Sus scrofa: one gene and its partners. The protein of the gene in region 7 interacts with the protein of the main gene of each other region in a pairwise test. Links are inferred from orthologs where the notes say so. Each region holds a gene or a part of one and is shown on either strand. Other genes may lie near its edges.

Region 1 (2,541 bases), on a different chromosome or scaffold from region 7:
CCACGCCAGATGCTTTACCCACTGAGTGAGGCCAGGGACTGAACCCAAAACCTCATGGTTCCTGGTGGGATTCGTTTCCGCTGCGCCACAATGGGAACTCCTTTTTTTTTTTTTTCCCCAAGATTTTTTTTCAGAGTTCCCGTCATAGCTCAGCAGTTAACGAGCCTGACTCCTATCCATGCAGTTGCAGGTTCGATCCCGGGCCTCACTCATTGGGTGAAGGATCCGGTGTGGCTGTGGCTGTGGTGTAGGCCGAAGGCTGCAGCTCCAGTGCGATCCCTAGCCTAGGAACCTCCGTATGCTGCGGGTGTGGCCATAAACAAACAAACAAGTGTATTGTTTCATTTATAGTTGATTTACAACCTGCCGCTCCCTTCTAAAGCCTCCCTTTGGACACTCTGGAGGGCATTCTGGCACTGGGCGAGCAGTGGGGGGCCCTGCAAGGTGATGGCCCCTCCTGCCCTGCCTGTGGTCGGCAGCACGGGGCGCCCAGTACCTGGGTAGGGCATCTCGCCCCTGCTGAACACCTCGTGCAGGAGGACCCCGAAGGACCAGACGTCCGACTTGATGGAGTAGTGCCCGCGGGAGAGCGCCTCGGGCGCCGTCCACTTGTAGGGGATGCGGTGGTCGTGGGAGAGGTAGATGTCGTCCTGCAGTGAGACACGTGCAGCGAGGACAAGCTCGAGGAGCCGGGCGCAGACACGCAGACACGGCTTCCGTGCTGCCACGCCTGGAGCCTGAGCTGGGGCGGGCCCGCCCAGGTGCCCACAGGCCATCCCCCCGCCGGCGGGGGGCGGACTGCAGAGAACCCAGCAGAGAGCCTGCCAGGACGAAGGACAGAGTTTCTCCAAAAGTTGTTTGCGGGGGGAGACCCCCAGGGAGGAAGCAGTGGTCCAGCAGCCACGCGGGGGGACACGGGGTCTGCTTGAGGAGCAAAGTGCAAGGACAGAACCTCGGCTCTGGGCGCAGGACCTGAGGGAGTTTCTCAGCGTGTTCCTGGGAGTCCTGGAGGTGCTGCTGGGCACCTGCCGGCAGGCTGGTGGCCGGGGCGAGGAAGGCTGGTCCTGCCCTCTCTGCCGCCCGCCCCTCAGCAGCTCTTCCCTTCTCCCCAGCCTCCGGCGTGAGCTGGCCCCACGGGGCCGCGCTTTCCTCCTGCTGTTCCTGGACGCGTCCAAGTGCTTCCACCGGCCCCGTCTGGCTCATCCCGGGTGCCACAGACCCGTGTCTCGCCTGGGCATCTCGCCCGACAGAGTCGTGGTTGCCTCAGCTTCCTGTTGCCCCGCCAGCTCCCTGCACCCCCCCTGCCCCCGCCCCGCGCCTGCCCCACCTTGACGAGCCTGGCCAGCCCGAAGTCCCCCACTTTGCAGATGGTGTTCTCCCCCACGAGGATGTTCCTGGCAGCCAGGTCCCGGTGGATGTAATTCTGGGATTCCAGGTAGCACATGCCCTCAGCCACCTGGGCCGCGATGTCCACCAGCTCCGAGACCGGCAGGGCCTGCTCATCAGAGTCTGCAGAGGCAATGGGAGGCCAGGGTGACGGGGCCAGCCAGGGCCGAGTCCTCGGTGCAGACGCCTGCCCTCGGGAGGGGCGGGGGCAAAGGGCAGCGAGCCCGGTTTAAAGTTGGGACTGTGGGAGTTCCGGTTGTGGCTCAGCAGAAATGAATCTGACTAGCATCCATGAGGATGCAGGTTCGATCCCTGGCCTCGCTCAGTGGGTTAAGGATCCAGTGTTGCCGGGAGCTGTGGTGTAGGCCACAGACACAGCTCGAATCCTGAGTTGCTGTGGCCGTGGTGTAGGCGGGCAGCTACAGCTCCGATTCAACCCCTAGCCTGGGAACTGCCATGTGCTGCAGGTGCGGCCCTTCGGGAAGGTAGTCAGGTATCAGAGCTAAACCGTCCAAACGCGCCCTCTGGAATTTCCTTCTGGGAAGCCACACTAAAGCAAAGGAACTCAAAGATGGCCATCTCAGCACCGTCTACAGGACCAAAAACATCAAAAAGTTCCAGCAACAGGCGTTCCCGTCATGGCGCAGAGAAGACGAACCTGACTCGTACCCATGAGGTTGCAGGTTCGATCCCTGGCCTCACAGACGCAGTTCGGATCCCACGTTGCTGTGGCTGTGGTGTAGGCCAGCAGCTACAGCTTCGAGTCAACCCCTGGCCTGGGAACCTCCATATGCTGTGGGTGTGGCCTTGAAAAGGCAAAAAAAAAAAAGTTCCAACAACAAGTGCTTGAGTGCACTTGGCGGTGTCAGAATTTTGTTTCTAGGGAGTATTTGATGGTGTGGCAGCAGCTTGCAGCGATCACGTGGAAAGCACTCCAGACATGGACGTGTTAAAACACACGCCCAGGCACACACATGCGTACCGGAGGCCACTTAGCCTTGAGCACAGACACTTGCCATTTTGGCATCTCTGAAACCGGGCGCACCGTGGCCACTCACCCTGCAGCAGCTCCAGCAGGTTCCCCTTGGGCATGAGTTCTGTGATGATGTACACGGGGTCCCCCAGGGACGCCACGGCGTACAGTGGCAGGATGTG
Region 2 (4,275 bases), about 2.2 Mb from region 7:
CTGTGTCCATCCCTCAAGGCCAGGTTCACCTTACTTGCTCTGAAATGCTTTCTTTCTCCTCCTCAGTCCTCTAAGATACGGTATCTAGCTTGTGACACATGGTTTTCCAGTTTCACGCTTGCTATCAGCTGGATGCCCCAGGAAGCAGATCCTGAGATGAAAATCAGAGTGCAGGCAGGCTCTGTAGGATGCAAAATCTATGGCCATGGAGAGCCGACTGTACGACAATTTTTCCTAAGGAATGTGAGCATCCCTGGATCTTGGTTATCTGTGGGGAGGGGGTGAAGGGTTTTGGAACCAACCCCCTCAATACCAAGGGCCAACCCCATGCTTTTTCCTCCGCCAGTCTCCATAGCAGCACGCAGAGATATGATTACCTCCTCCGTAATTTGGGGCTTAAAAACCCCAATAAATCCACCCCCCATTTGGCAAAGATGACCGCTACGAAGGAAATTTTTCTTAAAGAAACGAAATTTCTTAACTCAATGATTTCTCAGGTCTTTTGTCTTTTCAAGCAAATGAATACTTTTATTAACATGGTAAATTTCTTTTTAAACACATGGTAGGGTTTTGACCTCAAATACTTGTCAGGTCTGCTGCTGAAATGAACTTATAGCTAGACAACTTATGGATGTTGAAAGTACTTAGTCCCTATCCAGTTTAGGGTCCAAAACAGACAGCCCTTGCTTTTCTTCCCCAGACCTTCAAGGGCTTTTGCAAATATCGCTTTTATTTTATGCCCAGAATGCCTTAAAATGCATCAGGGTATTCTATCAATTATACAGAACACCAAGACCTATCTCATGTTCTATTCTCAGTTCCACGTCGAGTAAAGCTGAGTAAGGTTGTCCAAACAAACTGACCAGACAGGTTACATCACACAGTGTGCCGCATAAAACTTACATTTTGAACAAAATACATCTCTCCTCCTTTGGTCTCACACAGAAATTAAAGTCCCCAAACAATACCATCCTCCACCCCTTCTGATTCATCAGTCCTAGCCAGATCAGCCCCATTCACATTCCCAGTAGAAGTCTGGTCCCCTCTTCAGCTTCTTTAAAACTGCTGCATGGAGTCGTCTTCCAGATATCATGCAGTTCCTTCAGCACCTTCAGAGCTGGAGAACTCCAGCTCTGAGTCTCATCCGTCACACACAGACCCAAAGTTCCAGGAAGCTATCAGGTCACACAAGAAAGAGCAAAGCACCTCAAAAATTTAGAAACAACAAAAGCCCAGGAACAAACGTGACTGCTGCAAGAGCTTACAATCTAGGCCCTAATTCTTGCTCGTGAGAACGTTTTCCAAATAAAAGTTACCTCCCCAAACAAAAACACTTAACAATCAAAAACTCATATTGAGGTCATTAACCACAGACCATAGCAGAAACGTAGTGTAAGCGAGGACAAGAGTGTAGACAGAGAAAAAAAGAGAAAACAAAAGGCTCTCTGGTTTCAGCTTCTCCAGGGTGTCAGCCAATCTCCATCAGTGGACCAGAATCCATTGGCTGTAAACCTGAAGTGCAATCGGGAGAAACTCAGCATTAACAGGTTAATCCTTCAAGAAAACCCAACCCAACGCCCTCACACCTGCAGCCCCGCAGGGCACCACCTCTCCGGGATGCCATCTGACTCTTTTCAGGCTTCCAGCGAATTCTGGAACCGTCCAGAAACAGCCTTCCCTCCAGCAATCGTACATTTATTTCTCTCCACCCCAGCTCAATGGGCCCTACCACGATCTCGTTCTCTGGGACTTTTGCTTATGCCCCTCGAGTTGATCCTACTGACCGTGACCTTACGTTGCGAACACACACAGACGAAACCGAATCAACCCACCCGCCCACTTTTTCCCTCTAGCTTCCTGAGACTGAAAAAGCACACAAACGGTCTGTCCTAAGACCTCCTAAGGTAAACACGCAGCATGTTTCACTCTCTCCTCCCAACTCCCACCCCGAGGGGCTCGCTGTTCCATCCACGGCCCCGAGGCCGAGCCAAGAGGGGGGCAGCCCCGGGCCCCCGCCTTACCGCCGACCCGGCTTCAGGACGACTCGCTCTTCTCTATCCGCCGGACCAGCTCCACCAGCATCTCTGCCATCTTCGCGATCTCCTTGGCCTTCTCCTCGGCCTTCTCGCACCTCTTGGTCCCCCTGCCCTCGACCGCGTCGTCCGCGCTCTGAAGATGGTTGAGCGCGCTCTCCTCCGAGGCCTCCACCTGCGTCTTGATCTGGATGAGCATATTGTCCATCTCCCACAGCTTGCTCCGGTTGCGCAGGTACGCCCGCCCGTGCTCGCGGGTCAGCGCCGCGATGTCCTCCCGCATCTCGTTGATGACCGGGAGCAGGAACTGCTCGAAATCCTCCTCGGGCTCCAGCACCTCCACCTCCTCCGGCTCCGCCAGCTCGACGATGTCCAGGGGCCGCATCTCCTCCCGCTGTTCCGGAACCGCAGGAGCCGAGTCGGCTGCAGAAAGAAAATGGAGACTCGCTATGCTTACCGACACACTTCCAGAATATTCTCTCAAACTTTTACCCCGTTTAAACTTTTCGCCTCAGAGCAGCCACGGAATCAAGCGACTTACGAGCTGAGAAGCGGAGGACAAAATGGAGTCCTAGCCGTCAACCAGCGCCCTGCGTGTTGCGGCCCCTTTCACGACACGGCCGCCCCTCTTTACGGTCAGGCCGCGGGTAGAACTAGGTGCGGGGGCGCGCACGTCAGTGGTGGGCGACGCGATCCGCGCTACGCGGCCGCGCGCGCACGCACGCTCTTCCTGATACATCCTCTCCCCTTGAGGCCCGCGCTCCGCCCCTCTGCTGCCCCACGCACGCGCACGCACGCCCTCCCTTCTCCCTCCGGGCCCGTCGTCTCCGTCTCGCGCCCGTCTGCTCCCACCCGCCCCCGCGCGCACGCGCGCGCGCGCACACACGCTCTCTCCTCTCTCCCCTCCCCCTTCAGTCTGGCGCTGCTCCCAGCGGCCCCTGGCTTGGGAGTTGGGGCGCTGCGGTGCTCGCTCTTTTAAAGTTTTTCTCCAGCGTGGAGTTTACAGCTTTCAGAGATCTGAGAGCCATCTTCCCGCGCTGAACGAGAAGGTCCTGCGTAATGATGGGAGTCGCGGTCTCACGCAGAGGGCCCCACCCCGTTTAGTACCGCAGCCGGACCCTCCCCGACATCTCAGAGGCTGCTCTTCGTTATTGCAGTCAGAAGTGTCGGGGTGTCTTTCTCGAAACCGAGACCCCCGGGTGGGAAAGGCCGGGTCTGAATTATTCTGCGTTCCCACTGGACTCGTCTTCACGACTTTTACCGGACTGAAGGCTCCTTGAGGGTCTTACTCTGTCTCAGAGGTTTAGAGCAGAACTTGGCACAGGGTAGTATATTGCTTTAACATTCATTGCACAGACAATTTTAAGGAAACGTATGATGATTTCTTGGCCTGTTGACCTAGTCACAAAATAGCAAAAAAAAAAAATCAGGAATCCAGCTTGCACAAGTGATACGGCTTCTGTTTTCCAGTCAGGTGGGGGACACACCTCCCAGTTCTGAATATAATCGAGTGAAGAATGAAGAGAAACAACCATCAGATGCAGCTAGAGATTCTCATGCTAAGTGAAGTAAGTCTGAAAGAGGAAGATAAATATCGTGTAACTTATATGTGGAATCCAAAATATGGCACAAATGAGCCTATCTTCAGAACAGAAACAGGGAAGTTCCTGTTGTGGCCCAGCGGTAATGAGCCCAGCTAGCATCCTGGCCTTGCTTAGTGGTTTGAGGATTGGCGTTGCCCTGGGCTGTGGAGTAGGTTCCAGGTGCAGCTTGGATCTGGCGTTGTGGCTATGGTGTAGGACAGGCAGTTGCAGCTCTGATTAGACCCCTAGCCTGGGAACTTCCGTATGCCGCAGGTGCGGCCCTAAAAAGACAAAAAATTTTAAAAAAAGAAACAGACTCACTGACATGGAAAACAGACTTGTGGTTGCGGTGGGGGGGGGTGGAGTGGGATGGACGGGGATTTGGGGTTAGATGCAAATGATTACATTTAAAATGGATAAGCAATGAGATCCTATCGTATAGCACAGGGAACTATATCCAATTACTGTTTTTTTGGTTGTTTTTTGCTTTTTTGGGCCAAACCCAAGGCATATGGAAGTTCTCAGGCTAGGGGTCCAATCCGAGCTATAGCTGCCGGCCTACACCACAGCCACAGCAAGGCAGGGTCTGAGCCGTGTCTGTGACCTATACCGCAGCTCACGGCAATGCTAGATCCTTAACCCACTGAGCGAGGGCAGAG
Region 3 (4,098 bases), on a different chromosome or scaffold from region 7:
ATCCCATCTTAAAAAGGCAACAACTGGAGTTCCCATCATGGCGCAGCGGAAATGAATCCAACTAGGAACCATATAGGAACCATAAGGTTGAGGGTTTGATACCTGGCCTCGCTCAGTGGGCTAAGGATCCGGCATTGCCGTGAGCTGTGGTGTAGGTCGCAGATGCCGCGTGGATCTGGCGTTGCTATAGCTCCAATTGGACCCCTAGCCTGGAAACCTCCATGTGCCGTGGGTGTGGCCCTAAAAATAAAAAAATAAAAAAAAAAAAAAAAAAAAAAGGCAACGACTGAGGTTCCAGGAGGTAATTTCCTCAAGGACGGAGAGCTTCCAAACATTTCCTCAGAAATGCCTTCTCTGCCTTCCCAAACTAAATTAGTGCACACATACACACACACAAAAAAAGGAGTTCCCGTCGTGGCACAGTGGTTAACGAATCCGACTAGGAACCATGAGGTTGCGGGTTCGGTCCCTGCCCTTGCTCAGTGGGTTAATGATCCGGCATTGCCGTGAGCTGTGGTGTAGGTTGCAGACACGGCTCGGATCCCGCGTTGCTGTGGCTCTGGCATAGGCTGGTGGCTACAGCTCCGATTCAACCCCTAGCCTGGGAACCTCCATATGCCGTGGGAGCGGCCCAAGAAATAGCAACAATAACAACAACAACAAAAAAGACAAAAGACAAAAATAAATAAATAAATAAATAAATTAGTGCACACATACCAATTCCCATTCAGGAGCCCTTCTGCTTTTATGTGTGTGTGTGGTTTACAGTCACTTTCACCCTAATAGCTAAGACAGTGTTTCTTTTCCTTTTTTTTTTTTTCCCAGCCACACCCACGGCATGCAAAAGTTCCCAGGCCAGGATTCGAACTCATCCACACAGTGACAGTGCCAATCCTTAACCCACTGAGCCACCAGGGAACTCCCAGTAATTTTTTTTTTTTTAACTATCTTTGTCTCCTCCAAATCTACACCAGTGCCAAGTACACAGTCATAATACAAATACATGTAATACTTTTAAAACCTGAATTGGGAGTTCCCGTCGTGGCGCAGTGGTTAACGAATCCGACTAGGAACCATGAGGTTGCGGGTTCGGTCCCTGCCCTTGCTCAGTGGGTTAACGATCCGGCGTTGCCGTGAGCTGTGGTGGAGGTTGCAGATGCGGCTCGGATCCCGCGTTGCTGTGGCTCTGGCGTAGGCCGGTGGCTACAGCTCCGATTCAACCCCTAGCCTGGGAACCTCCATATGCCGCGGGAGTGGCCCAAGAAATAGCAACAACAACAACAAAAAGACAAAAAGACAAAAAAAATAAATAAATAAAACCTGAATTGTACTCTTAACCAAGTCATTCAGATTCCAAAGTCTCTGTTCTTATCCACTGTGATTTGCTGCCCAAATATAAAATCAATTGTGTGTGTGTGTGTTTGTATAGGCAGGGAATTCAGCAGCCTGATTATCAAGATCCTTTCCTCTCCAGGACCTTTCCCAGAACTTAATTAAGCTTCCTAGATCCTAGGGTTCTGGCCCTACCCCTCAGCTCCGATGTTCCTGGCTCTGTGAGAGGGGTCTCATCACGCGTTGGCCCTTCCTGGGTCCCAGGCGCCTCTGGCCCTGAAGACAGCTCCCCCTGGCTCTCATGGTGTCGGAGAAGGGCTTCCACAGTTTCATCCAGCTGAAAGGAGAAAGCACCAAAAATGTTAGGAATCCCTCAGGTGCTTCCTAGCATGATACTCCCTTTCTAACAGAGAAGTCTGAGAACTGGCAGCTGGATCAAAGCCCAGTCTTGTAAAGGAGAGGGGCATTCACCTGGGCCCAGTAGCGATTGACAATGAGGAGTGTGGCATCATCTGTAGCCTGCCTCTTCTCCAGTTTCTCAATTCGTTCTCGGAGTTCATCTTCACAAGCCTGTCTCTGTTCCAATCGCTCTGCTAGTTTCTTGTTCTTGAACTGCAGAACCTTCAGGTCCATCTCCTCCTACCAAGGAAACAGAGGGGCCGAGGAGAGAGAGGGTCAAGAAGGGCCCAAGAAACCAATCAGAGAAAGAGACAAAGGAAAGCAGATAGAACGGATGTGAGAGGGGAGCAGACTGCTAACAGGACATACAAAGCTCAGACACCCACGGAGGAAGCGTCTTGTTTGTAAGGAGCGTCACGTTCTGCTCCTGCCTCTTTCTACCTGAAGTCTGACATGTCTGTCACACGCTCTCTGGGAACCTGTTTGCCTATCTGCGAGGGGAAGGCAGACGTCATGTCCTAGGTTTCCTTCAACAGAATGCTCTGTAAAGTGGATCTGGTTAAACTTGGGGAACTGGGAAAACGGTTCTGGGAAGTTGGGCGGGCTGGGGCAGGAGCCCACGAACCGTGGAAGAGATGCCCCCAAGACGAATGGGCTCTATAAGCGTTGTTGTTGTCTTCTCCTCGCGGTTCAGCTTCTTCTCTGGGGGCCCCGAGCCCCCATCGCCGGCGGCGCGTTTGTTGCCGGGCCCAGACATGGCCGCGGCGGCGAGGAGCGGCCCCCGGTCTCTCGAGGACGTCAGGCAGGCGGACTCGGCACTTCCGTCACCTGCAGAAGACAGAGAGTAGAGCTGGGGAAGGGGACGGAGGTCCGCAGCCACGAGCCTACCCCCGCACACAGCTGCCGGACCCCGCCCCGCCGGCCCCGGGCCCCTCACCAGCAGCAGGATCAGCCTAGCGCCGCCATCTTGGACTTCACCGGACGTCACTGGGCACCCCCGCCCCCCAGCACAGAGCGCAGGCGCCAGAGGCAGCGCCGGATGTGGCGAAATCTTCTCCAGTTCCTGTTTCTATTGGTTGTGCTTTGTTCCTCCTCTTGCGTCCGTTTGGTTTCTTTCTGAACACCTCCTCTTTCTCTCAGTGATTGGCCGGTAGGCAGTTGCCATGGTAACTGACAACACACTTCCACTCCGCAGTCCTAATAACGCCGCCTGCCTCAGATTAACAACTTCGAAGAGAGGGCACCGGGGCGGGGTTTGCATCTTATTATGCATGCGCATTCTCTTCTCACAGTTTGGCGAGCACGGTACACTTTCTCCCTTCCTACTGGATCCTCCTTAGCAACCGTCACCGTTGAGACGGAGGGACGCCCCCAGCCGATTGGCTGTACCCGGCCTCTCTGCAGCGTAGATTGGCTGAAGCGTCGATAAGGGCCAGGCCTTGGCAGTCGCCGCCCGAGATCGGCTGTCCCAGAACCGAGGCAGGATAAAGACGGTGGGGACCCGCGACACAGAGGAGCGACCAGATGATCCGCCGGAAATCCAGCCAATTCCGGCGACTGAAAAGGCGGTCGGAGCTGGACCAGCACTCCGAACTGCGGCGAGAACATGAGAAAGACCATGAGAAGGACCTCAGCTCGTTGGATGAATCGGCCAAGAGGATGGGAACAGGAGTGCGGACCGAGTCAGGGACCGTGGCCTCAGTGGATGCGAATGAAGATCCTGCAGCCAACTTGTTCCCGGTGAGGACAGGTCAGAGTGGTCTGCTCATGAATGTTTATAAAAGGGCTCCCAGGCAGGGGGCCGTTTGTTTCCCGGGCTGCCTTGGTGAAGAGGCAGGCTTGAACTGCTTGTCAATACGCTCATGAATAGTACTTAGGGATCGCCGAAGCCCAGCCCGCCGGTATTGCTAGTACACAGTTTTTAAGATGAGAAGGCAAGGTATCGCGTTGTTAGACCACCAGAGATTCACCAAGGGCAAAGAACCACGGGCCAGGACTAACAACGCAGCTCTGCCTTTCCCAATCCGCTTTCTCTCCCGCAGCCGCCGCTACCCCAGCCCCGGATCTGCATATGGTGAGTGTGAAGAGCTTTGAGGGAAAGTTACCCTTCACACTTGTATTATTCCTTTAGCGCTTCCTTACGAGCCTGTCAAACAGGACGGAATTCCCATTTTACAGACAAGGAGACTGAGGCCCAGAGATACAATTACCCAAGATGACTATAAGCCAGGTCTCCCGCTGCCTCAGTGACTTTGTTATAAAGTTACACAGCGAGTTAGTGGAAGAGCCAAACCTCTTAACTCAGGTCTCTTGCTTCCCAGTCCTACGCTCTAGCCATCATAGCCTTGTCCTAAGACTAATGCATAA
Region 4 (3,933 bases), on a different chromosome or scaffold from region 7:
TTTCTTTACATAGATCCCCATTTCCAGAATATTCTTGACCACAGTTCCCTTTACTCCTCTCTCCCAACTCACCCCATCTGGCTTAGTGATCTTGGTCACAGAGATGCTCTTGAAATAGGATTTGGGCTGGGGTTGCAGAACTGGGCCAAGGCCCTCCTGGGAAACCTGGGAATCAAGATCTAGAAGGACAAGAGAGGAAACAGGAAAAAATAAAAAGAGTCCAAGGGAAAGAGGACAAGTGTGGCAGGAAGAAATTTCAGGGAGGGGGAACAAAGGGCTGGTAAATGTCCTCTCCCTCCAGACTCACCATTATCCTCTCTGGCTCTAGAACTGGGGGTCACAGGCCACATATCATCAAACTAGAAGAAGCCAAAGTAGGTCAAATGGCACCATAAATCTGAAACTTGCGGGGCGGGGGGGGGGGGGGTAACAGAACCCAAAGTTTTGCCAAGTTCCAAAACTATTGTGCTCAGGAGAAATAATCCCAATCAGAATAGTTTAATTTACTCGCCCCTCCCTCCTTCCTAGCTGTTCTATGTAACTCTTTACCAAAAACCATCCCTGTACTGATACTTTAGCCTACCTCTATAATTCTGCCTTGTCCAAGAATCATTTCAACCAATATATATATTTTTAAACAAAAAGAACTTCCATTCCTCTCACCCCCCCCCAAGAAAATCCTACAAAAAGCTTAATATAGAAAACAGATAAATACTCTTATGTGGAGAGTCTAGGATTCCAACCCAAATCTGTCAGATTCCAATAAGGATTCCAGTCTTTGCAGTTTTGTTCCACAGGCTCTCACTGCAGGCCCAGATGTACTCACCCTATGAAAAGGTCTCTGGGAATCCCAGTCTGGTACTGGTTTGGGGGATTCAGTTTTTGCATCACTCTCCAGGCCCCCACCAAAGATCCTGGGCTGGTGACTATCTGGATACTTAAGCATTGAGTCCCGAAGTGTCTGTCCTTCCTGCCGTCTCTCACCAGGTGTCTCTATCTCAGGACCTGGAAGTTCTGCAGAAAGGTGGCAGGTGGATGCTGGAGGTGGGAGGGAAAGATCTTGGGCTCTTTTAAATCTTGAAATCATCCATTTTCTCTCTTCCCACCCCCCAACTACTCTCTGTAGGCTCCTTTTTTTCACCCATCGACCCATCAGAAACCACAGGTTCTCCCCCAGGGACATCCACACACCAGGAGGACGGGAAGGCAAGGTCCAGGCCCCCATCTCGCTGAAGATACTATTGAAATCCCGTACTAAGTCATCGAAGCCAAAATTATCGTGGAAACGCATTCCTCCTCCTGGGCTGAAGCTGAAGCCAAAGCCAAATTCCTCGGGAGGCTGGGGACCTTCAAACCTCGAGCTCCCCTGGCTCCATGTGGCTTCTTCCTCTTCATCATCTTCATCTTCGTCGCGAGTCATCCCTCCAAAAAAGGGATCTCTGTGGCTGGGGATGGATGCAGATTGGCCACCAAGATTTCGGCACTACTTAATCTATAAAACCAGCTAATGGTGGACAAGAGTAGGAAACTGGAAAGCTGAAGCGAGCGTTAGAGAACTGGCCATCGTGTCTGTTTTGTTTTTATCAAAGCCAGTCCTCGCCTCGCGGCTCCCCCAAACATTTCCCCTCAGCTTTTCTTCAGCGTTCCCCAACCCCTCCCCTCTCTCCCAAGGTCCCGCTCGCTCACTGACCCCTTCCCCAGAGCTGCATTGTCTTCCCCACACTTGGGCCCCTGCTGCATCACCCCAGAACGGAGAAACGTTTAAGCGCCTGTTTCTCCTCTTAACGACTGCCTTGGTTACTGCCGCGGGGTGTGTGCTCAATGTTGTGACTTCTGCCCTCTCCGCAGGAGTTGCATGAGTGGGGAAAAGGATGTTTTTCCAAAAACAGTGTGTCAGGGGTCAAGCTTCCCTCAGCGGATCCCCCTCCCTTATCTGACCCGGACCCATTCTCACCTCCGAGGTCTAGAAAAGCCGAAAAATCCCCGAAAGAGATCAAAGAGGCTCATTCCCGTCGTGGGACTCGAACCTTCGAACCCCAAAGCCGGGGGGAGAAACCAAAGCTACGCCGTCGGAAATTGAGCGAAGCGTCAGACCACGCTGCCTGAAAGCAAGCCTGCGATCGGTCGGACACTGTCGTAAAACGACCGTAAGCGGGGCGTGGTTGAGGGCGGGGCAGGCCTATCGAATTCGAAAGGTTTTTTCTTTTACCCCACCTGTTCCCTGTGAAGGGAGTGGGTGTACTTAATTTTCGTTTTCCAACAGTCACCTGACTCCTAAGCCAATTCCTTCTGCCGACCAATGCGGTCGGTCCGACAGGGTGTCTCAAGGGTTTCACGCCGCCGGATGGCACCGGAGGCAGCCGCCAGAGGGCAGCCCATCCGCACAAATGAACTGGACCAAGGCCCTCCCTCACCGCCGGCTCACTACACCCATGGACTCCTCCTGGACCCGCCTCGGTTTTGTTTCCTGACTGAGCCAATTAAGTCTGATACCAGAGGGATGGACAAAACGTTGCATCAAGCTCCTTCTAATGTAGTGACTTCCCCAGAGTTGAGTAAAAGAAAAAGACTCAGGGAACGCAAGGACTTCTCTCTCCAGCTGTTAAGAATTCCTCTAATTCTTCCAGGCAAGCTCTGCAACCAGCAGGTTAAAGACTTCATAAGAGAGCAAGGGAACTCTTGGGAGGGAAAAATTGGGGGCTTTTAGTATCTTTTTCCTATCATTTGACTTTCAAAGCCTCTGCCTCCCTGTACCCCACCCCCATCCTAACCCTGGCCTGACTCTAGACTTCTTTTCAGGGGCTGGGTATTAGTTATGTGAAATGAAAGCACTCAAGCGTCAAGAACTACTGCTTCAGATTTGCTGGCCAACAACAGTGCATGTTGCCCTCATTTCTTTCCAGTTCATTTGCCTGGACCCATCTTAATTAAACTGATTCTGCAAAGCCATTTCTTTCAGTTTTCATTTAATCCTCTTCCGTTCCACCCAGTATCTGCTATCCATTCCACTCCCTTCACCGCCTAAAATCTGCTGTAGATCTGGAGAAAATGAAGATTTGCAGTGATTCTTTCCAGGCCACGCCGTGAAATTCTTAGGGGAGAACGGAAGGGAACCCCCTCAGGGGCAAGATACTAGCACATTAAGGTCGGAGTTCTTAAAGGGCGAAGATTTCATTTTATTCCACTGCCTTCGGGGCCTGCTAGAGAAGGCCCAGTTGGTACAGTAATACTTATTCACCAAGCTGGTCATCGACGAGACTGAGGATATCCTAGACGGAGCAAGAATGGGCAGAGGCTGAAGGTAGAGGTTTTCTTTTTATATATACAAGACACATTAATCCATTAAATTTGAAGACACAGTACAAAAAAAAAAAAAAAAAAAAACACTTCAACTAATTCATCTGACAATGCTGTTCATGTTCATGACACCATTTTTTGTTGTTGTTGTTTTGTTTCCTAATAATAAAGGAGGAGACTTAGGGCTGTTGGGCTGATATATATTTGGGGGTCCCCCCTCCCCACCTCACCCACACCACCAGGGTGAACAGGAGGAGGAGAAGGAAGGGCAGGGCCCACAGCAAAGTTTCATAATCTTGAATGCAAGAGGGGAGGAGGAGAGGAAAGGAAAAAAAAAAAAAAGAAGAAAATACAAATCCTATAATACATACAACAGAGTGGGGATGGTATGGGAATGGGACAGACATGAAGCTGAGGCATGGGGTGGGCCGCTGGGTGTGGGGGGCAGCGGAACCCCCCCACATTCCTTTCTCTCTTTGATGCTGTTTCCATAGTTGCCAGGCTGAGAAGCCCTCTCAGAAGATGGGACCGGGAGAAGAGGGTCAGGGCCTCAGTTGGCCCCCCAGCTGTAGCTGTTGTAGGCAGACTTGTTGGTCTGGGGCTTCTGCGGGATGGAGCTGGTCTGGCTACGTTGCC
Region 5 (3,447 bases), on a different chromosome or scaffold from region 7:
TTGGGGGGTGGGGTGTGGAAATTGTTAATCTTGTATAAAGCAACTCAATAAATTGTTTCAAGATTTCCAAAACATCCTTTCTCATTCACTTTTTTCTTTTTTTTTTCTTTTTTTGTTTCTTTTTTAGGGCCTACCCTGCTGTAAATGGAAGTTCCCAGGCTAGGGGTCCAGTTGGAGCTGCAGCTGCCAGCCTATGCCACAGCAACATGGGATCAAAGGCACTTCTGCGACCTGCACACTGGCGCTCACGGCGATGCTGGATCCTTAACCCACTGAGCAAGGCCAGGGATCAAACGCACAACCTTATGGATACTAGTAGTGTTTGTTACCACTAGCCACAACAGGAACTCTTTTTTCATTCACTTCTGTTAATCGTGTTTGCAAATAATTCTTTCTTCCGTAGCAGCTGATATGTAGGGAACATTCATTTCAGTTGAAAGCCAAGAGGGGGTTGGGGAATAAGCCTTAGATGCAAAAAGAGGAAGAAACACACCATGAAGTTAGAATCAAGCCACCATGTGTTTATTTTCATGCTTTGAACAGAGTTCCCTAGTAATTCCCATTTTCTTAATACATGAGATACAGAGAACCTGAAATTAGTTTGGTGAAAAATCAACTGCGGAGTCTTACTATATGGCAGTGAGATAAGGAGCAGGCGTTAAGCACTGAATCTAAGGCTACCAGCAACACAGTCCACGAGGAAAGTACTTTCATTTCAGAACCATGAGACGTTCTCTGATGCATTTTCTTGGGACAGTCTGGCTTGACAGTTAAGCGTTGCTTGAGCACCTGGGCCAGAGGCTGTTCTGGCTTCTTTGTGCCTTTGCTGTCTCACAGGGAGGCCTCTGATGGCAAGTCAGCTGAGCCAGAATCCGCAAGGGGTGTGCGTGCAGATCGCAGCCCTGGGGGCCTGGTGCTTTGCTGAAGGGAGGCCCCAGCTGGGGTGTGCAGGCCGGTGCTGCACGGAGCAGGCTTGTCTGCCCCGGTCGTCGAGTGTTTTGCTGGTTTTCGGTGGCTTCTAGGTATCACACGAGGAGTCTGTTGACGGGAGTGAGTGGGAAAGGGAGAAAGAAGCAGGCGCTGTGGGTTTGAGTCAGGGACGAAGCGGGTCACTCACCAGGCTGGATGGAGGTTCGGCCGGTGCCCATCCCGCTGTGGGTGAGGAGTGCTCTGAGCAGCCTGGCGGCTGCGCTGGACCCTCTCACGGGGCTCTGCACGTGGCCAGGCAGAAGACACCGGGGAGCTTCCTGGGTGGGAGAGAGCCAGCGTCAGCTTCCAGGAAGGGGAGGGCAGGGCCGAGCCTACTTCTGCCCGGACACCAGGACGGCCAGCTCCTGGATGGACATATCCTTGTTGACGTAGCGGTCGTACTGGGCAGGGGTCAGCCTTCCGCTCTGCAGGGCCTCTTCGATGGAGAACTTCTTGCCTGACTTCCTGTCGTGGATCACGGAGGACTCCCCGTTGGGACCCTTGACGGAGATTTCCTCCCAGTCGCACTCCTGGCTCCTGAGTTTCACGAACATGTTCCAGTCGATGAGGCCGGCCCGGTGGGCTTCCTCTGGAGACAGCTCGCGGCCGGAGTCGGGGTCGATGACCACGATGGAGCGCCGCAGGTGGTTCTCCCTCTGCTCCCGCTTGACGGCCACGGAGCCCAGGCGCCTCTGCAGCTCGTCGATCTCCAGGTCCTTGTCTCTGGAGAGCCTCTTGAGCTCGTCCAGCTCCCGCTCCAGGGACCACAGCCTGGAGTCGAGCGGAGCGCCAGGGTCTGCCACCGGCACACTCCTCAGGTCCCGCGTCTCCGCCGCAGCCATCTCAATCTCCGCCTGGAGCCTGCGGGCCTCGAGCTGCAGGTTCTGCCGCTCCAGCTGCAGTCTGTGGTTCTCCTCCCTCAGGAAGTCCAGCTCCTTGGACGACTTGGAGTTGCAGAACTCCAGCTCCGAGAGCTTGGCCTCCAGCCGGCTCACCTCAGCGTCCAGCTCCCTCTTGCTCCGGCTCTCCTCCTCCAGGCTGCTCTTGAGCTTCTGAATCTCCTGCTCGGTGTTGCCTCTGTCCACCTGGACGCTCTCAGAGAAGACCACCTTCTCCCGGACCTCCAGCTTCTCCAGGTGCTCCAGCTTCCTCCTCAGCGTCTCCAGCTCGCTCTCCAGGACCTGCCGCCGGTGTCGCTCCTCCTCCAGCTGCAGTGTGAGCAGGGCGTGCTCCCGGGCCTGCTGGGGGTCCTGCTGCAGCACCACCTTTTGCTTGAGGGTCACCTTCTCCCGGGCCTCCCCCTCCTCCTCCTCCAGCTGGGCCAGCCGCTGCTTCAGGCGCTGCACCTCCAGCTCGGCCTCCCTGCGTGCCTGCCTCTCGCGCTCCAGCTCCTCCAGCTGGCGCTCCAGCTCGGCCCGCCTGCGCTGCAGCCGCCGCAGCTCCCCGCGGAGGCCATCGATCTGCCGCAGCTCCGCGTCGATGCTCTCGGTGAAGGCGCTCACCTCGGCCCGCAGCCCTGGCTCCTCCTCGTACCTGACGACCTCCTGCTGCACCACCTTCTCCTTCACCCGGGAGAGCTCCTCCTCCTTCTGCTGGATTTTCTCCTCCTGGGACGCCCTCTCCCTCTCCAGATCCACTTGCTTCTTCTGTTCTTCTGCCAGCCTGGCCCTCAGAGACTCCACTTCCTCTTTGGTTTGGGGGTCCTCCTGGAACTGCAGGATCTCCTGGACCACCTCCTTGGTCTGCACCTGGGGTTTGGCCTCTTTCAGGGCCTGGATCTCCTGCTTCAGCTGGTAGATCTCCAGGTCACACCTTTCGATGAGCCTGGTCTTGTCGACGATCTCCTCCCGGAGCCTCTGCAGCTCCTTCTCCATCTCAGGATCCGTCTTGTACTTGATGACCTCCTTCGTGACTTCCTTGACTTCCACCTGGGGGCCCCGGCTCCGGAGCGCCTCCAGCTCGCTCTGGTAGCTCTTCAGCTGCTCCTCAGCCCCCCGGTACTTGCGCTCCTGCTCCACCAGCTCCAGGCGGAGGTTGGCCACCTCACTCTCCACCTTGGGGTCCGGCCGGACGATCTCTCGCACTTTCTCCTGCACGACCACTTTGGCGTTTTCCTCCTCCAGGGCCCAGATCTTCCGGAGCAGCTCCGTCTTCTCCCTCTGGTTGGTGCGAGCCTTGGCAGCCTCATCCTCGACCTGGCGTTGGAGGTCGCCCACCTCCCTCTCGGTCGCCACATCCTTTTCCACCTTGAGCACCTCCTTGACGGTGATCCTGCCCTCGGCCATGGCCCGCTCCTTCTCCAGCCTCTTCAGCTTGTCCTGCAGGAAGCTCAGCTCCTCCTCCTGCTTCTCCCTGAGCTGGCGCTCCCGCCGCTGGTCCTCCTGAAGCTGCCGGAACTCTGCCTCCAGCTGGGGGTCGTTCTGCAGTTTCACCACCTCCTTCTCGGTGACTTTCTCGCGCGCCCGGTTTTTCTCCTCC
Region 6 (4,046 bases), on a different chromosome or scaffold from region 7:
CAGCTGTCAGCCTATGCCACACCACAGCAACGCAGGATCCAAGCCTCATCTGCGTCCTACTACCGCAGCTCACAGCAGTGCCAGATCCTTAACCTACTGAGTGAGGTCAAGGATCAAACCTGCAACCTCATGGTTCCTAATTGGATTCATTTCCACTGTGCCACGATGGGAACTCCAGTAATTTCCAAATTTTAAATGGGCATTTGTCATTTCAAATAAAAAAGTGATAAAATGATACTTTTAAATGGTTTATTCTGTGATAGTATAACATAATTTTACAAATATAACCTAAGTACAACCTCACCATTTTTACAAATATAACAAGTGCAACCTCACCATTAACCATGTACAGTAGGAGAAAATGGATGTAATTGTCCCCAAGTCACTTGATATAACTAATGAGTGACAGTGAAGGAACAAAATCCATCATGGTTTTATGGTAAAAACAGAAAAACGCCAAGACTCTGCTATGCTTTCCTGCCACCTTTCTAGACAAAATTATTTGGCTATACATCTTCACCACCTTGCATGCTCACCTGATAAAATAGACATCATATCTTCCTGCTGTTTTCCCAGATAACCTTTGCTTCACAAGCCTTTCCCATCCGCATGGGACAGACTTGTGGCACTCTGTCACTGCAGTGCCATCAAACTCAGCAGAAGCCAAGGGTTCCTCTAGCAGAGGAGTACACTCACTGCTGCTTTTTATCACTATTTGTTTCTCATCTTCTCCCACTCTTTCTGATCCCAGAGCAACATCTTCCTCCCTGAAAGAAAACAAAGTACAAGTGATTAGCTCAGGTAAAATGCATTTGATTCTGCTTATTCAATTTCAGTCCATGACAGAGAAGCAACCACATGGACTCTCTGGACTATGAGAGATTAAAATCAGTATGGACCAGTCCTGCTACGAGAATATTTTTCTGCCCTCCAATACCTTCTTGTCTCCAACATGGATTAAAAAGGCTTGGAAATCTCAACACAATGAAAAACATGAGCTGTTTGTTAGAAAGTTTTTTGGTTAATCTTGAATAGCGCTGTTATTTCTGGTGACACCTGACATAAGTTTAAAAATATGAACCAGGGAGTTCCCGTCGTGGCGCAGTGGTTAACGAATCCGACTAGGAACCATGAGGTTGCGGGTTCGGTCCCTGCCCTTGCTCAGTGGGTTAACCATCCGGCGTTGCCGTGAGCTGTGGTGTAGGTTGCAGACGCGGCTTGGATCCTGCGTTGCTGTGGCTCTGGCGTAGGCTGGCGGCTACAGCTCTGATTCAACCCCTAGCCTGGGAACCTCCATATGCCGCGGGAGCGGCCCAAAAGAAATAGCAAAAAGACCAAAAAAATAAAAATATGAACCAATAGCTAAGCTCTTAACCTAGGGATCAACTGAACAGCTTAAAGGAGTCAGTGAGACACCCTCCTCTGCCACAAATAAGTGATGTAAAATTTGTATATATATGTGCATATATATGTAACCAATTTCTAATACAGAATTTTCAAATTCTCTTTCATTCTTGAGCCAATAGCCCTGTGAAGTAGGAATAATAAGGACTACTCTCATTTTACTGATAAAAGTGAGTGAAGGGAAGATTAAGTTACTTGCAGAAATGATTCCAGAACCTAGGTCTACTAAATCTTGGTCTAATACTTCTTCCCTTGTACTAGCATTGAAAAACTTTAGTTAGTGTATCCTAATCACTAAATCACATATGCTAAAAGTTGGCTGGGTCTACAGAGATGTCTAACCAACCTCTTTTCTACAAATAGGGAAATTAAGTAAGAGCTAGTTACTAACTAGAATTAGAATTAAGGTCTTCTGATGTGATGTGGGATTAAATAATTTAGGGGAGCTGGGTGAGTGGATCTTAAGAAATCATACGGTTCACAATTTTGGAGATAAGAAACTGAATATTGGTGAAAACAGCACAAACTTTAAAATCAACAGACTAGGTTCAAATCCCAGCTCTGCCATTTACTAGCTGCATTCAAGATCAAGTGACTTAACATCTCAAAGTCTGTTCCTCCATTTGTTAAAAAAAAAAAAAAGACCTAATACTTCCTTTAAGGTAATTCTGAGGATTAAAGGTTTTTTTTTGGGGGGGGTAGGTAAATTATCTTAGCCCCACACCGCATATACACAAATACTTAGTAAGTGTCTGTGGTTTTTTTCCCTTACCTCTCATTGGACCGGTTTCTGGGGCGCCCCTGGCTCCTTAACATGACATCTCCTCCAAAGTCTTCCTAGGATCCTCCAACCCAAGCAGTCGTCTCCCAGCACTAGGAAACCTTCCTGCTCCACCCAGCTCCCATGTCATTTCTGGGGACGAGGTCGGGAGCCGACCCCTCCAGAAGAGCACCTGATCCCCAGCCCCGGCTCGCTGGAAATAACTCTGGGCCTCCACGTCTCCGCCGACCCCAGGAGAGAAAGGCCCACCCACCTACTCCCTCTCTCCCATTTTTCAGGTGGTGAAACTGCGGCCCGAAAGGGGACAATGACTTGCCGGAGGTCACAGGGCCGGTCTGAGTCTAGGCGCTCAGTGGCGGTGATCAAAGGTGCAGCTCCGCAGTCCCCGGGGCTCGGACTCTCCATCCTAGCCGTGCCCCCCTAAGCGAGATCCAGCTGTAGCAACGGGCCGAGAGGCTGCGTCGCTCTGAGTGAGGAGCGGAGTAAGATGTGAAAACTTCTCCAGCTCTGAGCGATAGGCTGGAACCAAAAGATGAAGGTAGTGAATGTCTTTCATACGCCTCAGCTGCTTTGCGGCCGCCCCCTGGTCCACAGGCGCCATTTCCACGGCTCACCCAATCCAATCCTTTGTCGAGAAAGACGCACCGCCCCCTCACCTTAGGGGTGACCAATCGCGCGCGCCCTAGTCGTGCAGACATCTTCAAGGCTCGGGTTCCATTGTTCAAGCCCTCTCTTTCAGACATGCGCACTCGGAACGCTCGGCTTCGCGCGTAGCTCACTGCGCATGTGCGTTGCCAGGGGTAGCGCAGGTAGCCGAAGTGGCTCGCGGCTTGAGGCCTGTTGCCGAGGTGGGGAGGTGGGGCCGGAGGTGTGAAGCGAGCCGCTATGAGGGCCGTATTGACGTGGAGAGATAAAGTGGAACAGAGGTTAGGAGTGGGGCAGTCCGGGAGGAGCGGGAGGCCAAGCCCCAGCGGGATAGCGGGCGCCATTGCGTGAACCCCGGTGGTTGCCACGGGCAACGGGCCTGTGGCTCAGGCAGAGGATAGTGAGCCCCGAGAATCAGCGTCTGAGAGGTCGCCCCCCAGCCCCTTTTCGGATGGACACTGAGGCCTGGAGAGGGAGCAAGGGCAGTTCTGCGCGTGAGGTAGTGGTCTGTCGAAGTGGTTTTACACATAGTCATAACCTGGTCTTGTCTTTTTCTTACTCAGAATCCATCCTGGGCTCGTCTTAGACCCATGACAGTATTTCTCTAACTTCACCACTTTTGCCATATCCACACATTACCTCTACTCTTTTTTGCTTGACTTTTCTTCTAAATTTCCTCATTTATTTTCGTTTAAATATAATTTTACAAGGAAACTTTATTACGCCATATATGAAAACCAGTTTTCATTTGCTATAAATGTAAGTTAACTGTAACTTAAAGCTGGGAGAAACGAAACGGTGTTAACACGGTATAGCTAGATACCGTTGCTAGGGAGTCTTTAAACCTTCATTTGGAGATTGAGCAGGTGTTGTCCGTGAGGTGCTTGAGATGAAAAGCATCAAATCATGACTTTCTCATGTATTTTATTAGAAGGCTTGAAAGAGACTTGAAAGAGAATGACTTTCTCACTTTATGATTCACTGTTGTTTAATGTCCTATTCCACTTTTATCACCTAAATCTATCATGTAAGGATTCCTTTTGCAGGGAATACTGACTTATTGGGTAGTTTTCCTCAGCCTGACTTTCACAGTCTTCCTCCATGATCTTTTCAACTTCATTGCGAAGCCTCCGTTTGGCTAGTGGCCTTCCCTCTCTTTTCTTGGGCCTTTCTGTGTGAGGAAAGCACATCTTCCTTCATCTCCTTACATGGAAAT
Region 7 (3,500 bases):
AGGCAAGCGCTTGGCACGGCCTTGGAGCCAGTCAACTCCGACCCAGGTGGCAAGAAGCTAGGCCCGCCCCCAGCGCAGACCCCCAGGGCAGCGCGGCGCAGGAGGAAGCAGGCGGGCCTGAGCGCAGCGGGCGTGTGTGTGTGCAGTGGCTCCTGGCCGGAGCTCCCAGCCAGGCCAGGCGCTTTCCTACCTGTCGAAGAGAACAGACACACGCTCCATGGCCACAATCACAGACTCGCTGTCGGGGGCGGCAGGGCTGGGGTCGGAGCTTCTGCCTGGGCTGATCTTCTCCTTTCCTGAAACAAAACCAAGCCGTTCGGTTCTACTGACAGCCAAACCAGAGAGGCTCCGTCAACAGGGCCTGGAACTCACGCACGGTCTCCTGAACCCCCAGAGATGGTCTGAAACCAGGTGATGGGGGCCCCCAGCAAGCAGCCCAGGGCCTGGCCCAGTCACACAGGGCCCACTGGTCAGCCTGCAGCCCGCTCCCCGTGAGGCGCTGACGCCCGCCCAGCTCTGCGACCTGGAGAACCACAGGAGCCTGCGGGCTGCCTCCCGAGCGTCTGGGATGTGCAGCGCTGGCCTGCCGGGCGCCAGTGGGCCCCCGCTCACCCGTGTACATGCAGGTGAGCATCAGGCCCAGGGCCGCCATGGCGCGGTGCGGGCTGTGCGCGTTCACTCTGTCCACGCTCAGCTTGACCAGGGACTCCGCGTCCAGCCGGGAGAGCTGCTCGGAGAGCAGGAGGCGCTCCAGGCCCCTCAGGACGCAGTGGTAGACGATGGACGGGGTGGACTCCTCGCTGCCGGACAGCATCACGCCACACATCTGCACAGGAGCACTTCCAGGTCAGAGGCACCGCAGGCCTCCCGCCTCAGAGGCCCCGCCCCGCGCTCAGGGCTCGGAGCCGCTGCGCGTGGAGGAGGCCCAGGCCCGCCCACCTGTATGACGGACGCAGAGAACTCGGGCCCGACGTCCAGAGGGTAGTTCTCGATCAGGTAGAAGGCCGTGGCGCACATCACCAGCACGTGCTGCTGGCTGTGCACGTTCACACAGCTGGAAGGAGACAGGGCGAGCTCAGCCACGCGGCAGCCCCTCCCGCCCGACGGCACGTGCTGTCCGCCGTCTCAGTGACCACAGCCACCGTCCCTGGGAGGAGGGTGCCAGCTGGCTTCCTGCTACCCCGCCTGCGCGCGGTCGCTCCTTTCGCGGCCCTGCTAGACGGCCTCAGGTGGCCCCCACTCACTGGGCCACGCCTCGGAGGTTGGAGAGGAGATAGTCGCTGATGGCCGGGATGAGCTGCTTGGCCGTGTCGTCCAGGAGGTCGCACTCCAGCACGTAGAGGGCGCCGTGCAGGGCTCCGATCCTGCTGGGCAGGTGGCTGCTCCTGAGCGTGCTCTCCAGCAGCCGGCTCACCGGCTCTGCCACGGCCTTGTCCTAGGGCACAGGCAGTGATGCCACGGGAGTGGCCAGGGGAGGGCAGGGGCCGCTGTGCAAGATGGGGCCCCATGGCGGGCCCAGCTGCTGTCCTCCGTCAGGGTCCCCAGCACCCTCACCGACGCCTCAGCTGTTGTGACGAGTGTGTCCATGCTGACACCTGGCCCCGGGGGCTGTGTGCCCGGCAGAGGGGTCCCCGGGGCCACCCCCAATAAGCCCTGGCTCCGAGTCTCTGAAGGGCTTCTCGGGGACAGCACGCCATGCATGTTGCCACAAGGTGTTGCTGGGGGACTGGGCGCAGCCCGTGTCACTCCCGGGACAGGGTTCTGGAAGCTGGTTTCCCTGGACCTCACCCCTCGGCCCCGTCCCTTCGCTGGTTCCGCTTTGCAGCCTCTCGCTGCCGTGGATCACAGCCCTGAGGACGAGTGTGTGTGTCCAGCCCTGCGTGTCCTCCTGCTGGACACCTGCGGTGGCCCCAACTGTGGTCTACACTAACTTGTGCCAAACACTGTTTCATTCAGTTCCTAAACAGCTGGAGGGAAGCCGAAACCTGAGCACCCAGCCCCAAGCGCTGCGTGTGGGATCGGCTCCATGCCAGGGAGGAAACCCCTTCACGGTGCGCAGGTGGGGACCCCTGCTGGCTGAGGGCCTCGCCTCATCCTGTAAAAGCCTCCGAGACTGTGGCCCTATGGCCTCCCAGGGATCCTAGCCTGAGCTCCCCCAGGTGACACAGCAGGACTCCTCCTCTGCTGCCCATACCCAAGGCCTCCAAATGCCACCAGGGAGGGCACAGCTCTCACACACTGGGAGAAGCTCTGAACCGCCAGGGCCACAGGCTGCATCCTCGGGGCAATGGCCCCGCGTTCACGGCGGGACCGGGGTCTCCACGTCACCCCGCCTGAGCCTCTGCCTAAGAGACCTCACTCACTGGAGTCACTGACGAGTCGGCATCTGCCCCCGGGGCTGGGGACAGGGCCAGGGCACAGGACAATCACCATGGAAACGAGCCCAGGCCTGACTCCTGCAGAGACGAAGGGACCCTTGGAGCCTGGCTGTTTCTCCCTCCCTCCCCACAGCCAGAGCGCCCGCCCTTGGAAGAGCAGAGAAAGCCGAGACTCGTGTTTCTGTGCCTGAAGGCCACCCAGGACGGTACCCGCTCTGGGCCCTGGCTCGGAGGGGCGAGCTCTGGTCGCAGGCACGGCTCACACCCCGTGTCTGCCACAGCCTGTGTGACCTGGAGCAAGCGGGTCACCCTGGCCTCGGCCTCCATGGGCACAGGAGGGTGTGTGAGGCCAGGGGGGAGCCCCCCAGAGGCCCCTGCTCTTAGGACCAGCAGCACAGGGGTGGGGCTGGGGGAGGAAGGGGGGGCGGGGGCGAGAGAGTGGCTGGGGCACTGCGACGCCCCTCACCGGTGGTTCCAGTGCCCGGCACGCGGCAGCTACCCTGGGTCTGTCCCGTGGACGAGTCTCTACTCTAGCAGAGGGAACCCAGGGGACAAGTGAGTGAGAAGAGGCACAACGACCGGCTGATGCCACGTGGCAAAGCGCAGAAAGACACTCAACTTGGAGTCCAGTTATTTTCCTCCAGAGGCAGAGCTGCTATTTCCAACCTGCTCTAGAAACGGCAGGCCGGCGGGCAGCACTTTCCATGTTGATGCTGCGTGGCCGCCGGGCATAGAGGGATGAGTTCTGATCAGCTAGAGAGGCACACTCAGGAGGAGGGGCTCAGAAGAAGGCCTGCCTGCCGCCCCCCCCACCCCGGCCCCACTCAGAACAGACAACAGACCTCAGTATCTGGGGGGGGGGGCACAGGTACAAGGTCACCACAGGGGCGGATCTGCCAGCCGGGCAGCATGGGGCCCCCAGCACAACTGGAAGGGCTGACTGTGCAGGAGTCGGCCACATGCCCCACCACCCGTGCAGCCCAGCCTCTTTGGGGACAGGGACACGACAGAACCAGGGGTCCAGGAGCCCAGCTGGAGGCACTGGCGCCACGCACTCAGCCGACTGCCCACATCTGCCCCGAGAGGCCCGCACCCTCCGGCTTACCATGCCGAGGACGGCGG

The links.
Region 1: the proteins of HTT (region 7) and PTK6 interact in binary tests that used the Homo sapiens proteins (3 or more experiments, as listed by UniProt). The link is inferred for Sus scrofa from reciprocal best matches to the Homo sapiens genes HTT and PTK6.
Region 2: the proteins of HTT (region 7) and MORF4 family-associated protein 1 interact in binary tests that used the Homo sapiens proteins (3 or more experiments, as listed by UniProt). The link is inferred for Sus scrofa from reciprocal best matches to the Homo sapiens genes HTT and MRFAP1.
Region 3: the proteins of HTT (region 7) and RNF40 interact in binary tests that used the Homo sapiens proteins (3 or more experiments, as listed by UniProt). The link is inferred for Sus scrofa from reciprocal best matches to the Homo sapiens genes HTT and RNF40.
Region 4: the proteins of HTT (region 7) and HAX1 interact in binary tests that used the Homo sapiens proteins (3 or more experiments, as listed by UniProt). The link is inferred for Sus scrofa from reciprocal best matches to the Homo sapiens genes HTT and HAX1.
Region 5: the proteins of HTT (region 7) and PPL interact in binary tests that used the Homo sapiens proteins (3 or more experiments, as listed by UniProt). The link is inferred for Sus scrofa from reciprocal best matches to the Homo sapiens genes HTT and PPL.
Region 6: the proteins of HTT (region 7) and MBD4 interact in binary tests that used the Homo sapiens proteins (3 or more experiments, as listed by UniProt). The link is inferred for Sus scrofa from reciprocal best matches to the Homo sapiens genes HTT and MBD4.

Annotation. Positions count from the first base shown.
Region 1 is NC_010459.5:62,540,895-62,543,435, forward strand, and holds part of PTK6 (protein-tyrosine kinase 6), read right to left. Parts: coding exon 2,445-2,541; intron 1,510-2,444; coding exon 1,328-1,509; intron 651-1,327; coding exon 497-650; intron 1-496. UniProt on the Homo sapiens protein: Non-receptor tyrosine-protein kinase implicated in the regulation of a variety of signaling pathways that control the differentiation and maintenance of normal epithelia, as well as tumor growth.
Region 2 is NC_010450.4:4,120,284-4,124,558, forward strand, and holds MORF4 family-associated protein 1, read right to left. Parts: upstream 2,797-4,275; 5' UTR 2,575-2,796; exon of another isoform or gene 2,457-2,574; 5' UTR 2,419-2,456; coding exon 2,035-2,418; 3' UTR 2,022-2,034; intron 1,513-2,021; 3' UTR 501-1,512; downstream 1-500.
Region 3 is NC_010445.4:17,633,191-17,637,288, forward strand, and holds the start of RNF40 (E3 ubiquitin-protein ligase BRE1B), read right to left. Parts: upstream 2,801-4,098; 5' UTR 2,669-2,800; intron 2,560-2,668; 5' UTR 2,489-2,559; coding exon 2,357-2,488; intron 1,972-2,356; coding exon 1,804-1,971; intron 1,670-1,803; coding exon 1,528-1,669; intron 1-1,527. Other genes in the region: CCDC189 (coiled-coil domain-containing protein 189), read left to right, coding at 3,256-3,471, 3,774-3,805.
Region 4 is NC_010446.5:95,468,173-95,472,105, forward strand, and holds the start of HAX1 (HCLS1-associated protein X-1), read right to left. Parts: upstream 2,801-3,933; 5' UTR 2,008-2,800; coding exon 1,955-2,007; intron 1,446-1,954; coding exon 827-1,445; intron 360-826; coding exon 308-359; intron 180-307; coding exon 73-179; intron 1-72. Other genes in the region: UBAP2L (ubiquitin-associated protein 2-like), read right to left, coding at 3,848-3,933. UniProt on the Homo sapiens protein: Recruits the Arp2/3 complex to the cell cortex and regulates reorganization of the cortical actin cytoskeleton via its interaction with KCNC3 and the Arp2/3 complex. Slows down the rate of inactivation of KCNC3 channels. Promotes GNA13-mediated cell migration.
Region 5 is NC_010445.4:37,508,933-37,512,379, reverse strand, and holds the end of PPL (periplakin), read right to left. Parts: coding exon 1,302-3,447; 3' UTR 501-1,301; downstream 1-500. UniProt on the Homo sapiens protein: Component of the cornified envelope of keratinocytes. May link the cornified envelope to desmosomes and intermediate filaments. May act as a localization signal in PKB/AKT-mediated signaling.
Region 6 is NC_010455.5:68,825,760-68,829,805, forward strand, and holds the start of MBD4 (methyl-CpG-binding domain protein 4), read right to left. Parts: upstream 2,801-4,046; 5' UTR 2,591-2,800; coding exon 2,439-2,590; exon of another isoform or gene 2,221-2,438; coding exon of another isoform or gene 2,177-2,220; intron 768-2,176; coding exon 537-767; intron 1-536. UniProt on the Homo sapiens protein: Mismatch-specific DNA N-glycosylase involved in DNA repair. Has thymine glycosylase activity and is specific for G:T mismatches within methylated and unmethylated CpG sites. Can also remove uracil or 5-fluorouracil in G:U mismatches. Has no lyase activity.
Region 7 is NC_010450.4:1,924,768-1,928,267, reverse strand, and holds part of HTT (huntingtin), read right to left. Parts: coding exon 3,484-3,500; intron 1,436-3,483; coding exon 1,245-1,435; intron 1,055-1,244; coding exon 940-1,054; intron 827-939; coding exon 613-826; intron 297-612; coding exon 191-296; intron 1-190.